2 linked regions of the Lonchura striata genome follow. The main gene of each other region encodes a partner of the protein of the gene in region 2 in a complex. Links are inferred from orthologs where the notes say so. Each region holds a gene or a part of one and is shown on either strand. Other genes may lie near its edges.

Region 1 (7,114 bases), on a different chromosome or scaffold from region 2:
TTCTCTGGATCAGTCCCTGAGAGCTCAAGCTCTGGGCTCACTGGACCTCCCTCCCTACTCCCTGGATTTCCCGTGCTGCCCACAGTGGGATTTGCACTTGGATTTGACAAATGTTTTCTGTTTTCTCTCACCTGGGGAGTGAGTAGTTGGCCAGCCACAGCCTGGCTGTTTTCAGACTGCGAGGGCCCTCGTGGTACCACGTTTGCTGATACTGTAAAAACAGGAATAAAAGGAATGGAAAAGCCCTGGTGCTGCTGCCCCTGCATTCATTCCCTTCAGCTCCTCCCAGCACCTGCCCCCAAACCCTGCTGTGCTCTGGCCTCTTTTTAAGGGCCTTCTACACAACTGAGCCCCAGGAAAAGGGATTTGGAGAGATAAATCAAACTCTCTGCCCTACAGATCCAATCCTGCCATGCTGCCACTTCTCTCAATGTTCCAGCTGAACCCTGACCCATCTGCATTTACAGACATGTAACTCCCTCCTTGTTTACACATCACCCACTAAAGAGAAAGCCCAGAGCTGCAGAAATTATTTCTTACAGTAAAGCTCAAAAATAATAAGGTAAAAGAGACTCAGGAGACACAAGCAGAAAGAGCAATCAAAGGCAGAAACAGATGCAGCAGAAGGAACATTTTTTTTTTCTTCCCAAGTGTGAAGGAAAGTAAGGGACTTGCTACAGTAGGTAAGAGCCCACACACTGCTCTCCTGGTTTGCACAGTGAATGCAGCACAGAGCAGAGTCTGAGTAAAACCCACACTTGGTGCTCCTCACTGAGACCAACCATTGCCATGGATTTGGTGTAATGGGCAACATGGAAAAAGCCTGAAGGGATACCATGAGAATTCCCAGGCTGGCCAAAGCCAGGAGTGCAGGATATATCAGAGATGGATATAACATCCCTCCCTTCTGTCAGGGGACAGGAGACACCCTTACCTCTTCTTTGGACTTTTTGGACCTGTCATCATCTTTCCGGGTCTTTTTTAACGCGTCTGTGCCGACCACTGAGAGGATGTTCCTTAACCTGGAAGGAGTCATGAAGCTGGATTTAGCCAGTGGATTCTCAGCTCACCTGACAAACATCACTGTGACATTCCTTCTGCCTTAGGGTTCTTACAAGAGAAATCCCAGACTGGTTTGGGCTGGGAGGGACCTTAAAGCTCATCCAGTGCCATGGCAGGGACACCTCCCACTGTCCCAGGCTGCTCTCAGCCCCATCCAACCTGGCCTTGGGCACTGCCAGGGATCCAGGGGCAGCCACAGCTTCTCTGGGCACCCTGTGCCAGGGCCTGCCCACCCTGCCAGGGAACAATTCCCAATTCCCAACATCCCATCCATCCCTGCCCTCTGGCAGTGGGAGCCATTCCCTGTGTCCTGTCCCTCCATCCCTTGTCCCCAATCCCTCTCCAGCTCTCCTGGAGCCCCTTGATGCCCTGGCAGGCTCTGGAGCCTTCCCTTCCCCAGCCTGAACACCCCCAGCTCTGCCAGCTGCCCTGTGGCACAGCAGTGGCACGGCAGGAGGGGCTCAGGGATTTGCAGGGTGGCCATCCCTGCAGACACAGCACCTCTCCCTGCGCTCCGCGGGGCCCTCTCCGAAGAGCGTGATGGGCTCGCCCAGGGCCCGCAGGCAGGCCTTGACCTCGCAGTCGTCCGTGGACACGTTGATCTGCCGGGCGCGCTTGCGGCGCTCGAACTCCGCCAGCACCTCGGCCTGCCGCTCGCTCATGTGGTCCTCCAGGTCAAACACCTCCCCTGGCACACACACACAGCCTGAGCACACGCAGCAGCACGGCCAGGGCCAGCCGGGGAGCTCTGCACATCACCCGCAGCGGGGCCACCCGCAGCAGGTGACACAGCAGGGTGTGGCATGTCCCCAGAGAAGGACGCTGCACCCCTCCCTCAGCCCCTGGAGAGATCCAAGCACGGAGCCTCCCACCCTGACTGCTGTGAGGCGATGCCCAGAGAGCCAGCAGAGGCATTTCAAGTGCCACCTCTGCGGGCAGGGATGACGAGGGGTGTCTGCAGAGCCTCACCGCTGCTGATGTTGATGTTGCCAGCCTCCATGGCAGCCTTCATGGCCTCCTTGGCCAGCAGCCCCGCCTCGCCCTTGGCCAGGCGCTCCCGCTCCTTCTCCTCCAGGCTCCCGTAGAAGATGGGCGCCCGCTTGGCCGGGGCAGCCTCGGCCTCCTCGGGGGGCTTGGCCTTGGGGGGCTGCAGGGAGAGCCAGAGGAGCAGGGGTTGGGACAGGGGGCAGCTAACAGCCTGGCTGTGCCAGAGCCGGCTGTGCCAGGAGAACGGGCACTGTGCACACATACAGCCTCTCGGTGCCACGCCGGCTGGGGATGGAGGCAACTGAAGCCCATCCATCCCACCCTGCCGTGCCAGGGACACCTTCACGGCCCCAGGCTGCTCCAGCCCCGTCCAGCCTGGCCTGGGCACCGCCAGGGCCGGAGCAGCCGCCGGACTTTGAGGTTTTTGCCCGAAGGCCGAAGCACAAGAGCAAAATGCCGCGTTGAAATGCTGCCATCAGGCAGCGTTGGGTGCCTCTTATTTATTATCTGCAGAGGTATGTTTTGAAAAGCTTTGGAACACGGAGCTGTTCGTCCTCCTGCACCGGCACAGCCCGGAGCGGTGCCGCGCCCCAGCCCAAAGCGAGCGGCTCCTCAGGGGAGGCGCCAGGACCGGGTGAGAACGCAGAGCACCGAGCCCTGGGCTCCCCTGAACGGCTCCGGTGTCACCGGAGCACCGCAAATCCCACACAGCAGCAGCAGGCGCGACCGCCGGCGCCGCGGCCGCGCGGGGAACAGGCCCGGGGCCGCCCCCATCTCCGCACACTCACCTCGGGGGGCCGGGCCGCACCGCGCGCCGCCGGAGCCCGCGCGGCGGCCATGGCGGGAGCGGGAACAAGCCCAGGAACGGAAAAGAGCCCGGAAGGGGAGCGGGAACCAGAGAAGGGAACGGGGAGAGACCCGCCGCGCCGGGCTCCAGCGCCTCACGGCCACTTCCGGGCCGCGCGGGGCACGCCGGGAGGCGCGGCGCCCGCTGAGGGCGGGCCGCGCGGGGCACGCCGGGAGGCGCGGCGCCCGCTGAGGGCGGGCCGCGCGGGGCACGCCGGGAGCTGTGGCGGGCGGCCCGCTGAGGGCGGGCCGCGCGGGGCACGCCGGGAGGCGCGGTGCCCGCTGAGGGCGGGCCGCGCGGGGCACGCCGGGAGCTGTGGCGGGCGGCCCGCTGAGGGCGGGCCGCGCGGGGCACGCCGGGAGGCGCGGTGCCCGCTGAGGGCGGGCCGCGCGGGGCACGCCGGGAGAGGCGGTGCCCGCTGAGGGCGGGCCGCGCGGGGCACGCCGGGAGATGAGGTGCCCGCTGAGGGCGGGCCGCGCGGGGCACGCCGGGAGAGGCGGTGCCCGCTGAGGGCGGGCCGCGCGGGGCACGCCGGGAGATGAAGTGTCCGCTGAGGGCGGGCCGCGCGGGGCACGCCGGGAGATGAGGTGCCCGCTGAGGGCGGGCCGCGCGGGGCACGCCGGGAGAGGCGGTGCCCGCTGAGGGCGGGCCGCGCGGGGCACGCCGGGAGATGAAGTGTCCGCTGAGGGCGGGCCGCGCGGGGCACGCCGGGAGCTGTGGCGGGCGGCCCGCTGAGGGCGGAGCGCTCGGTGCCGCCGCGGGTGGCGGCGCCTCTGGCCGCGATGCTCCGTCGGAAGCCGACGCGGCTGGAGCTGAAGCTGGACGACATCGAGGAGTTCGAGAGCGTGCGGAAGGAGCTGGAGGTGCGCGCGGGGCCGGGCGCGGGGGGCTGGGCCCGCCCCCGGCCCTGACCGGCCGTTCGCCCGCAGAGCCGCAGGAAGCAGCGGGACGAGGCGGAGGCGGCGGCGGGCGGCGAGGAGGCGGCGGCGATCGGAGCGCTGGGCACGGAGCACAAGAGCCGCGAGCAGCTCATCAACGAGCGCATCGGGTACAAGCCGCAGCCCAAGGCCGGCGGCCGCGCCGCGCACTTCGGCACCTTCGAGTTCTGACGGGGCAGCCCCGGCCCCGCTGGGCCGCGCCGCCCCCCTCTGAGCTGTTGCATTTTCGCATTTTATGTTTGGTTAACATGGCCGTGATCGCTCCCTTGCCGAGTGTTTTGTTTTAAATAAACACGTATTTTTTTAAAGAAACGAATAATCATCCCACGAGCTGCTGTAAAGGGCTGCAGTGCCCAGGTGGGGTGGAACAGCTCGAGCACCCCGTTCCCTGCTCCTGTGGGCAGGAGGATGAAACTCTGCGGGAGGATCCTCCGGGAAAGTGATCTGCTGATCTAAACCAGACAATGGAGTGTGGCCACCTCAGCCTCCAGCCCTGCCCGCTGGTGGCCCACTGAGGAGAAGGTCCTGGAGGTGTCTGATGAGTGTTTTGGGATAAAGGTGCCACAGTTGTGGGTGCCAGGCACTGCTCTGTCCATTCTCGAGGGAACCAGGAAAGAATTCCCGGTCTGTTCAATCAGCTGGTCCCAAATGCATCCCAGAGCTGCTTCCCCATCCATGTCACAGCTGGGCCCTCAGCAGGGAGTGGCTGCAGACCTGCCGTGGGCTGGGCACATGGATGTGGGATGATAGCCCAGATTTTCTGTTTGAGCAGCTTTTCCTTTGCACCTCCCTGTTCCACCTCCATCCAGCTCTGCTTGGTGCCACCCCAGCTGCCCTTGGAATGGAGCTCAGAGCTGTTTGCTGCTTGGATCAAAGGCCACCAAACAGTTCCTTATGGCTGGTGGTGTTCTGTGAAAAGGCCAAGGGCACATGGATTTCCTCAGCAGGGGCCTGGGCAGGGTGAGGTCAGATCTGATTTAGTGAGAGGAAGGTGTCAGACTCAGGAGGAGTCTGACAGTGGAGGACACTTGACAGGAGTCACACAGTGGGGTGAGCTGAAGGAAGCAACATAAAAACCTGAGCAGCTCCTTGGTGCTCAGGAAACTGCTCTCTGCAGCCTGGGGAAGGAGCAGGGCAGGCTGCCACAGCAGGGAATGCAGGAGCTGGAGGCTCTCCCTGCCTCTGCCCAGGGCTGTGTCCTGCCATCTTCAGCAAAATGACCAGGTCTGGTTTTTCAGCATTCCTCCAAAGTGGACTCCAGTTAAATTCACGCTTCCCGTGTTGTAGGTGCGTCAAATTTCAGGTCAGGCTGGGAAAATGTACAGAACTTCAAACTTTTCCAACTGGGAAGAGCCCCAGAGCAGCCTAGAAAAGAGCTGCTTTTCCTGTCTAACACCACAAACAATGATCAGGGCTTGCTCTGCTGTGCTGGCATTCCCAAGAGGCCCCAGCTGTGAGAGGACAACACCTCAGGAGGTTCTTACATCTCCCTGAAACTCTTCTCCAGGGCAGGCAGATCTGGGAGGCACCAGTTTCTCTTTCCATCCCTCCCCACACCTGCAAAGTGCGACTGAGCTGGAACAAAGACTTCTCAGTGAACCCCATTCCAGCAGCTTCAGGACAAGTTCCTGGGAGCTGGGGAGGCTCAGAGGATGCTGCTCCTCACTCCCCACAGCACCTGAACAGGAACACTGGGCCCTGTGCTCCCTCCAAGGGCTGCCCTGAGACCGTTCCCAAAACACACCCCCAGCACAGTAAAATGCCATCTATTTTATTGGTTAATTATGTACAGGAGATTCTTGATATTCACAGTAACATCAGACAAGTTACCACCACAAAAAGCAAGAGTAAAAACAGAACTGACAGTCCACTGTAAACAAAACTAGAAATCCTGCTGGGTGGTGGGACTGGCTCCAGACAAACTCAAAAGGCACTCAAAGAAAAGCAACAAAAGCCCTCGGAGGGACAGGGCCTGGATGCTCCGAGCTCCCTCGTGGATGAGAATGTGGAGGCTCAGCGTGTGCAGAGCAAACGGGGCACAGAGCCAGGCACAGGATGTCACCCCGAGCAGGGCAGCACAGCCCAGCATGCTGCATGTCTGTCCATGTCTGTCCACACCGGCCCTGCGAGCCCTCCCCCACCGTGCGACCCGGACACCTCTAAATTCAGCAGCGGGGCTGGGGCTGCCCAGAGCTGCCGATCCCGCCCGCAGGGAGCTCAGGCTTTGCTCCGGCTCTGCACGCACAGCCCGGCTGGGAGCACACCGTGCTGGCATCTGGTGGCAGCGGGACGCTGCGACAGGGACGGTCGATGGCTGCTCTGGACTGTCACACTGAACTGGGGACAATCTGAACTGCACAGCCGCGGCAGGAGGAGCAGCCTGGACACGCCTCGTCCCCAGCGGTGCCCCAGGAGCTCGGAGCACAGGGGACACGGCCTCGCCTGCTCCTCTCAGCCACTTCCCCTCTCACCTTCCCTGGGAGCCCAGGGTGCCCTCACCACCCCTCGTGCAGGCTGTGGGAGCTGCTGGGGCACCTGAGACTCGTGCCCAGGTGAGCCCTGCCAGGGCAGTGTCCCCTCCCTGTGCACGCTGGAGAAGCTGTGTGCCCTCTCTGAGCAGAAGGGAAGCTCATTCTGGGGGGAAACAATTCCAGGGGCACAAGTGGTACAAGCAGAATGAGACAGAAAAGCTTAACAAGAACCAGAGTGACACTGCATGAGCCACAGCCTGATCTCCAAGTCATCCCCAGAGAATTCAAGTCTGGCCACTTGGATACACAGAAAAGTGGCTAAAAGGTGACAGCAAGATCAGGCCAAGCAGCTTCTGTTCCAAAGAAAGACACAGCAAGAGGTATATGAGGTGACCAGTGTCACCACAGAGCCGCTCCTCACTCCAGCCTGTGATTGTGATGGCAACAATTCCACCCCCTTCCAGAAAAACCAATGGCAGCAGTGGCAGTGTCACCCTGAGCTCCTGCAGGGGTCAAGCCCTGCAGTGCCAACCTCCCACATCAACACCATCTCCAGCTTTTAACAGCTCTAGTTCTCTCTGACAGACAGATTTCCTCTCAGTTCCAGCAGGAGTGGGAAGGGATTGTTCATTTTCTCTGCCCACACTAACATCCTCCCAGCTCTCCAGGGGTGGGGAGGGTCAGCTGTCCCCTCCCATGATTGCCTGCAGGCACAGCAGAGTTTTACCTTTGTGACAGGTGCAGAAAGGGCACCAGCAGGTTCTGTCACAGACAGAACTCCCTTCAAAGATCAGACTGGGGAAGGAAGG
Region 2 (7,353 bases):
TACTTCCACTCATAGGGTTTATCACAGTTAACCCAGTGACTCACCTTGACAGAATGTCTGTGTGAAATGGGGTTGATCAGAGGATCAAAGTAAAAAGCTGGGAGGTCAGGATCTTCTGTTTTAATGAAAACAACATTTGGAGTATGATACCTGCAAAAAAATAAATATGCATTAGAACCTCTGACAGCCTTTCCCTCCTCTCCTGGCTCTGGAGGCTGCTGCTCTTACCAGGTGAGGTGGACATGGTGGGGCAGGTTGTTGTACAGGTAGGGGAAAGCAATTTTGTACTCTGTCCTGATAGGCTGCCTGATGATGATTTTGTTGATGTCATTAAATTCATTCCAGTCTTCATCCCTTAAAACGAGACAAGAAACTGTTATGCAGGCATTCAGGGTGAGAGAGACAGAAAACACCCCATCAGCCCTCTCCTAGACAACCACTCATCTCTCTCCCAAAACCAACACTTACTGAAGATTGATGTCCCTGACGAGGGGCTCAAACTTGGGACCTCCAGGAATGGCCATGTTCAGTGCCTTGGAGGTGAAGAAGGCTTTCAGGTCAAACAGGTAGAAGTAGTTGTCATCCACCAGGTCAGTGAGCAGCTGGTTGGCCAGGCGGTACAGTGTGGACATCATGGGGAGGGTGAACTGCCAGCGCTGGTACGTGGAGCCGTTGACGTACCTGGGAAAGCAGAGCATGGACACTCCACACACAGAATAACCAAACACCTTCTGCCACCCATCCTTCATCAAGAACAGATATCTGCGTGTCTCTAGCCTGAAAAAAAGGCTGCAGCACTATTAAAGACCACTCTAGACTCCTCCTGCCCAGAAAATGCTGGCTGCTCCAGTTCCTCTTCTCCTGTGTCTCAAGTGACACAGAACATCTGGGCACCTTTAGCAAATTCCAAATTCCAGCTACACAATGCAGGCTGTCAGCTTTACAACATGGTCAGAAACACCAGTTTTAGGAAGTAAGTGGGTAACAGGCCTCCTGGATAGAGGAGCCTTGCTGGATCCTGAACCATAGAATCCCAGAATGGATTTGGTTTTGCTTGGAAGGAACCTTAAACCTCATCTTTTTCCAAGCCTTCCACCATCCCAGGCTGCTCGGAGCCCCACCCAACCTGGCTTTGGACTTCTGAGCAACCTGCAGGCAAAAGATGCAGCTTTCCAACACTCAGCTTTTCCCTCCCATCCTTGAGGGAAGGTTTTTCTCTCCTCACCAACATCACACAAAGGTTACACACTGCTCTGTGCACGTCATTCATGCACTGTTTGTTTTTTGTTTTTCTCCCCCTCCACAGCCACTTACTTCCTGTTGTCCTTCAGAGGCTGGTGGTCATAGAACCAGTCCAGCACAGGGGCATCCTCCTCTGGATCCAGCTCCAGCTGAATGGCTTCCAGGGGCTCCACATCCAGGATGTTATCAGCATAATCCAGAGGGGGTTCTTCATCGTCAAACGGGGGGAATCTCATCCTCTTGAAGTGGCGCCTGTCCCTCTTCTCCCGCCTCATCATAATCCACATGGAGCTGCAGGAAATCAGGGGTAGGTTAAAAGCAGGGGGATTTTATGGTGGGTGCAAAAAGGTGAAAGAAGCAGAAGGCACCTACCCCCACTGGGCAATGTAGACAGGTTCGATGACCCAGGGGATCTCGTTGACAAAGGAGATGGCGCCCGTGATGTGGTACAGGACGGGAACGTCCCGGATCTGCTCCCAGGGCATGGGCATGTTCTCCAGGAGCTTCAGTACAGCATGGGGCATGTACTTCAGAGCACTGCAACCACAAACCAGGGAAAACCACGCTGGAGTGGCTCTCAAGGACAGCCAACCACCTGCCACGAGCCCAACAACCTCCCAGTTTTCCCTAGGAACTGCTCATCTGACCTGTTCAAAAAGCAAATCCATGGATCTCCCACTCTACCTTTGGATTATCAAAAGGTTTTTTAGTGATTTGGCTTTCAAGAATGTTGCTAACAGAAACTGAAGTTTTTAAGTTAGTTCATAGAGTTTTTTAGGTAATTGTAACTTATTGCAGCAGACCATGATGTGCACTAGACAGCTCTCTACCCCCAAACAGCACTCAGGATGCTTTTTAATCTTTAAAAAAACATTCCACACTCTCCCCAACTCCTTCTAAGACACTCAGTTATGCAGGGTCATGTTTTTTCTCATAAATTCAGAGCAACAATTCCCTTTGCTGACGCTCCTTTGCACTGATACCTCACAGCAACAGATTGAGCTACAACTGAAAAGCTGAAAAGCCTTTTGGAGAAGGGGCTTCCCCTTCAATGATGCATTATCCAGGCTAATGTTTTTTCTCATAAACTCAAGGCAACAACTCCTTTTGCTGATCCTCTTCTGCACTGACACCTCAGGGCATCCTCACTGAGTTACAATGTTCACAAAAAGCCTTTTGGAGAAGGATCTCTCCCTCCAGGGCAGCAGCAGATCCCCCTGTGCCCCACACCGGGGGTCCCTTACCCCAGGTAGACTCGCTTGTCGTGACGGAACTTCCTATTGGTCATGTCGCCGTGGTCGCGGATGATTTTGCGGACATGCTCGGGGGGCATGTCCTCCTTCTGCGCATCCACGAAGCCGAATTTCCTCTTCTCCGCGTAGCGCTTGGCCTGCAGCTGCTGCCACTTGCGGGCTGCGGGGACACAGAGGCGGCGGCTCAGGCCCTGTCCCCCGCGGAGGCTCTGGGCCGCCGGGGCCGTACCCACCTTTCTCCTGCAGCTTCTCCTCGGACATGTAGTCGGGCAGCGGCGCCAGCGGGTTGGGCACCGGGGCGCAGCCGCCGCGGTACGGGAACACGGCGGCCATGGCGACGCAACTGCGCAGAGAAGATGGAGAGGGGCTCAGTGCGAGGTACGGGACCACGACGGGGCCGCCGCCGGTCGCTCCCCCGCCGCTCCCGCGCACCCCGGGCCCGCCGCTCCGCTGCCCTCACCGGCAGCCGCGACCCCCGCGCTCCCCCACCACAATGGCGGCCCCGCGCCGCCGCCACCGCGCCTGCGAGACCCGGATGTGGGCGGGACTCGCGGCGCGGAACAGCCAGTCAATTTTTAGGAGATCTGACAGACAGCAGGTTTATCCTATCAGAGCGCGGAGCGGCGGGGGAGGCACTGAGGGCGGAAGAGGGGAGCAAGCGGTGTCTGGCGCACATTTCCGTTGTGGTGTCCCGCTTTCCCCGGTCCCGCCCTTCGCTGCTTCCGATTGGCGGAGACAGCGCGGCAGCGCCTCTGATTGGACAGCGCCTGGCGTAGCTCACTCCGCGCTGCTTTAGGGGGCGCCCCTGGCCGGGTCGTGCCCCCCCCCCGCCAGTGATGGTAGGGGCGGGGGGCGCCCTCAGGGCGACATTTTGGACATTTCGGACACATCCCGGTGATGTCCGCGGTGGAGCTGCGTGGGGACATCCCCCACGGGGCCTGGACATCCCCTCAGTTCGGCTGAGCCCGTCTCAGTCACGCCCCCGTGCCCCAGGCAGGCAGGGGGATGCCGCTCCCCAGTGATGCACTGCCCCCATGGCTACACCATGGCCCCAGCAAGCAGCCACCCACTCGTTGTCCCCTTCCTGCCTCTCCACAGGAACACAGATGGCCCCCGACCCTCAGTGTTTGCCCAGCAGCTCACTGTGGGTGGGTTCAATGTGTTCTCAGGGCCCCTCAGCAGCCAGGCGAGCTCTTGCCTCAGGGTTTTGCCAGGGTGGAAGCTCCCATGGGGAGAGGGGTTTGTTCGGGGGGTGATTGGGTGGCAAGCCGGGGTGTTACTCCCCAGCAATTAATTCCCTGATGGAGATGCTCCTTCTAACCCCGTGGTGGTGGTATTCCCACCCCTATACGGTGGGAACAGAGTGGTGAGTCCTTCCCAAAACCTTTCAAAGCGAAGCTCTGGCACTTCCCATCGGGATGGGCAGGCACAGGGCATCCCCACGTCCGACCTGGGTGACCTGCAAAGCCGCTGCTTTTTCCCCCTTAGCCCTGTGGGAAAACCACGGTGGATTAAGAGGTGCCCAAACCAGGCTGCCCTGGCCCCCAGCCCCACATCCATGTGACGGCAGGAATGTGGGAACACAATCCAGGCCTTGAGAAGCCTCCCGACTGTGGGCTGGAGAGCAGAGGCAGCGTTGTTACCTGTGCAGCAGCTCCTGGAAAATTCGGAATACGTGGGTCAAAGCAAAGAGAAAGCCTTGGGTGACAGTTTTGCTCCAGCTGGGAGCTGTGAGTGGCACACAGGTGCCTCAGCACTGCTTGAGGTTACGTACCCAAACCTGGAGTAATTGTGCCCAGCACCTGGAAGCTTCCCTGCCCTCCACAAATAGAAACGTAAGCGGCTTTAGCCTCCAGCCTCACACTGCCCATGGATCCCTCATCTTTCCCTGTCTCTGTCCTCAAAACATGTGCCACCCTCTCCGAGCAGTGCCTTGCTCCAGCCTGTCCCCAGGGTCTTCAAACCAAGGGAGAGATTTTGTGTTAAAGCTTATCCGCCACACAAAAGAAAAGGTGACTGAGCCGGTGGATTTCTCCAGACTGCTTCACCTTAACTCCAAGTAGGATGATCCTGTTATATACACAGTGCTGGGCTGCTGGGGAACAGTCCAGTGTGAGAATCAGTGAGGAAATGTGGAGTGGAAGAATGTTTAAAAACCTTCATTTTCCTCCACAGAAAGGAGAGGGGTGGGGAAAAAACCCAACAAGAGAGGTAGAGTGTGCCAGTGTACAGTGTATTTTCACTCCATGGCAGGGAGACTGGGGGTAAGGACTGGGCTAAGCAGTGACACCCCCAGATTGGGCTGGGATGATGAGTCCTCGTGTCCCCTCTCAGTCCTTTCCCCTCAAGCCACTTCATTTGCAGCCATTTATTAAAAGCTCATGTTAGTAAGAGCCTTTGCTGTCAAGTGAGAGCATTACCCCGGGCTCTGCAGCACAACTTGGCACTCCTAACAGATGCCTGAATCTTAAAAAGTGCCTGAAAACCCCTCATGTGTGAGAAGTGACCATCACACAGCATCCTCCTTCCAGCCACTCGTGCTCTCCCACGCTCATTTATGGGCACTTGAATTATCTGGGGACAAAACATGATGGAAAAGCTCCAGTTGCCAGGAGAGGTTGGGGCTGCCCCCACAGTGGGCAGCTGCCACCCAGCCAGGTCTCAGCCTGGGAAATCTCCTCAGGGAGGGCTCATCAGTGCAAGGTTTGTTTTTTACTGACCATCACCTTGAAGGCAAAGCCTTGGAACCTGTCTTGCTGGTGGTGTTCCCACAGGAGATGGCACGGAGAACTCAGTGTCCCGTGGCTGATGGGACGCTGCAGCACCAAAGGGGTTGGAAACACTCGGTGGTGTTGGGATGTCTGGAAGAGCAGTGGGGAAACAGTGCTGCTCTGCCCCCGTCTCATCTCAGTGGTGCCTCAGGGAGCTGTGAGAGCTGTCGAGGCTTCTCTCAGCAGCTCCCGCTTGTCCAACCACATCATCCAAAAGCGTCTGGGGAGCAGAGCCACCGTGCCTGGTCCACGAGCACCTCCTCTGCTGTGCAGGGCCCAGGCTCTTGAGCCACAAGCAAAGCCTGGATGCTCTGTTAGTGCAGCCCCTCCCTGCGAGGTACCAAAACATTCACCCTCCACGTGCTTCCACGGGTTTGGAAGTGCCCCTTCTCAGGGGAGGGCCTATTCCTCCTTCTCCCTCCTGGATTTGAGGAAGTCACTCCGCAGCAGGCGGTAGAAGAGGATGACGTTCATGGGCGTCATGATTGCCATGCCCACCGTGCCCACGGCGTAGGTGGCCGGGGGCACGTTCTGCCGGTTGAGGAAGAGCCAGCGGCTCATCCAGGCCAGCGTGGCGATGCGGAACACCACGTAGGTGCCCAAGTTGATGAGGCTGTTGAGGCGGTAGCAGGTGGTGTGCACCAGGTTGGCCATGAGCATGATCTGCCGCAGGTGGAGGAAGATGGAGTTGATCTCCACCAGTAAAGCCACGAGGGCAAAGCCGACGTACTGGTGGAGCAGCACGGCAATCCCAAAGCAGATGATCACCTGGGAAGGAGGGAGAAGAGAGGCTGAGCCCAGGGGCTGGTTGCTCTCAGCTGCTGCAAGCTGGAACCCTCCACACTAGGGCACAGCAAGGAGCTGAGGTGGAAAGGATCATCAAACCACGGGCCACCCCTGCAGCATTGCAGCCTCTGGCACTTCCCTCACCGTTGCATGAAACCTGAGTGGGGTTTTTTTGTTGCAGTGAGAAGAGAAGGAAGCAGCTCTTTAAGCCCCAGGCTGGCTGAGGAGACAAAGCAGCCTGACCTAACCCTGCTGTTGTGGCCTGGAGAACGTTGTTGTGGCTCAGCAGGTTTTTCCACACACAGTGAACGGACAGGAAGGGAGACTGTAGCCCAGGGCTACGCCACTGCTGGCTCAGGGATTGTCCCCAGGACAGGCACCCTGCAGGGATTAGGTGGCTTTGGTGTATCAGAGAGCCCCCTGAAGCACCCTGGGGCTGTTTGGGACAGGATTCCTGCCCCGCACCCTCCCTGCCAGGCAGGGGGACAGGCTGGCCTGCCCACGCTTCAGCACACTCAGTCCTTTCTTTGGTTTATGCCATTAGTGCTGTTCTCTGTATGGGCTCTGTAATGAGATTATCGGCTCGTTAAATCACTGTCTTGGCTTGAATTAGCTCCATTGTGGAGGTGAACTTTTGGCTCACCAGCAGCAGCCAGCAGAGCCCCAGGGCTCACTGACAGAGAGGTTTGACTACCCAGTCTCATCTCAGGTGAGTGCCAGCACTGTCCCTGTCCCCATCCCCAGGCCCTGCACACCCCTGAGCCTCCCCTGAACCCTGCAGCATCTCATGGAGCTCAGCTCCAGGCCGTGCCACCCCCCTGCCCTGCAGCATCCACAGTCTCAGCACCACGGAATTGTTTCGGTTGGGAAAAACACTCTGGCACGTGGACAGCAGAGGTGACCAGAGAGAAACCCACACAGGGCACAGCAAGACAGGCAGAGGGCACTGAAGTGGGGCTCCTGCAGCACAGCTGCTCCAGCCACAGTAGCCCCAGGTGGGAGGAAAGCACCCTGGGCAGGGGAGGTGGATGAAGGGGTGTGCAGCCCTTGCTGGCAGGTGCTCAAGAGGGCAAAAGCCACAGGAGGTGAGCTGCTCACCTTTGCCAGAGGGGACAGCGGGGTCACTGCTGTCAGTGACACTGTTGTGGATCAGCCCACACTCTGTACACATGTTTTTTTCCTACTCTATTGGGACACACGAGACAGGCAATGGACTTTGGACATGATTAGCATAAGATATTTGATAATCGGGATGCCTTGGCAAGAACAAACAGAGCTGAAAATTAAATCAAACTGAAAAT

Evidence for each region. The genes of interacting proteins can lie anywhere in the genome.
Region 1: PRPF8 (region 2) and PRPF4 share a complex: the UniProt entries of both Homo sapiens proteins name them as parts of the U4/U6-U5 tri-snRNP complex. The link is inferred for Lonchura striata from reciprocal best matches to the Homo sapiens genes PRPF8 and PRPF4.

The regions. Positions count from the first base shown.
Region 1 is NC_134624.1:4,700,891-4,708,004, reverse strand, and holds the start of PRPF4 (U4/U6 small nuclear ribonucleoprotein Prp4), read right to left. Parts: upstream 3,057-7,114; 5' UTR 2,889-3,056; coding exon 2,838-2,888; intron 2,210-2,837; coding exon 2,032-2,209; intron 1,751-2,031; coding exon 1,564-1,750; intron 1,023-1,563; coding exon 935-1,022; intron 212-934; coding exon 132-211; intron 1-131. Other genes in the region: anaphase-promoting complex subunit CDC26, read left to right, coding at 3,679-3,759, 3,826-4,005. UniProt on the Homo sapiens protein: Plays a role in pre-mRNA splicing as component of the U4/U6-U5 tri-snRNP complex that is involved in spliceosome assembly, and as component of the precatalytic spliceosome (spliceosome B complex).
Region 2 is NC_134622.1:6,932,171-6,939,523, forward strand, and holds the start of PRPF8 (pre-mRNA-processing-splicing factor 8), read right to left. Parts: upstream 3,026-7,353; 5' UTR 2,956-3,025; intron 2,839-2,955; 5' UTR 2,829-2,838; coding exon 2,729-2,828; intron 2,656-2,728; coding exon 2,487-2,655; intron 1,780-2,486; coding exon 1,615-1,779; intron 1,534-1,614; coding exon 1,315-1,533; intron 682-1,314; coding exon 469-681; intron 355-468; coding exon 229-354; intron 151-228; coding exon 45-150; intron 1-44. Other genes in the region: TLCD2 (TLC domain-containing protein 2), read right to left, coding at 5,669-6,034. UniProt on the Homo sapiens protein: Plays a role in pre-mRNA splicing as core component of precatalytic, catalytic and postcatalytic spliceosomal complexes, both of the predominant U2-type spliceosome and the minor U12-type spliceosome.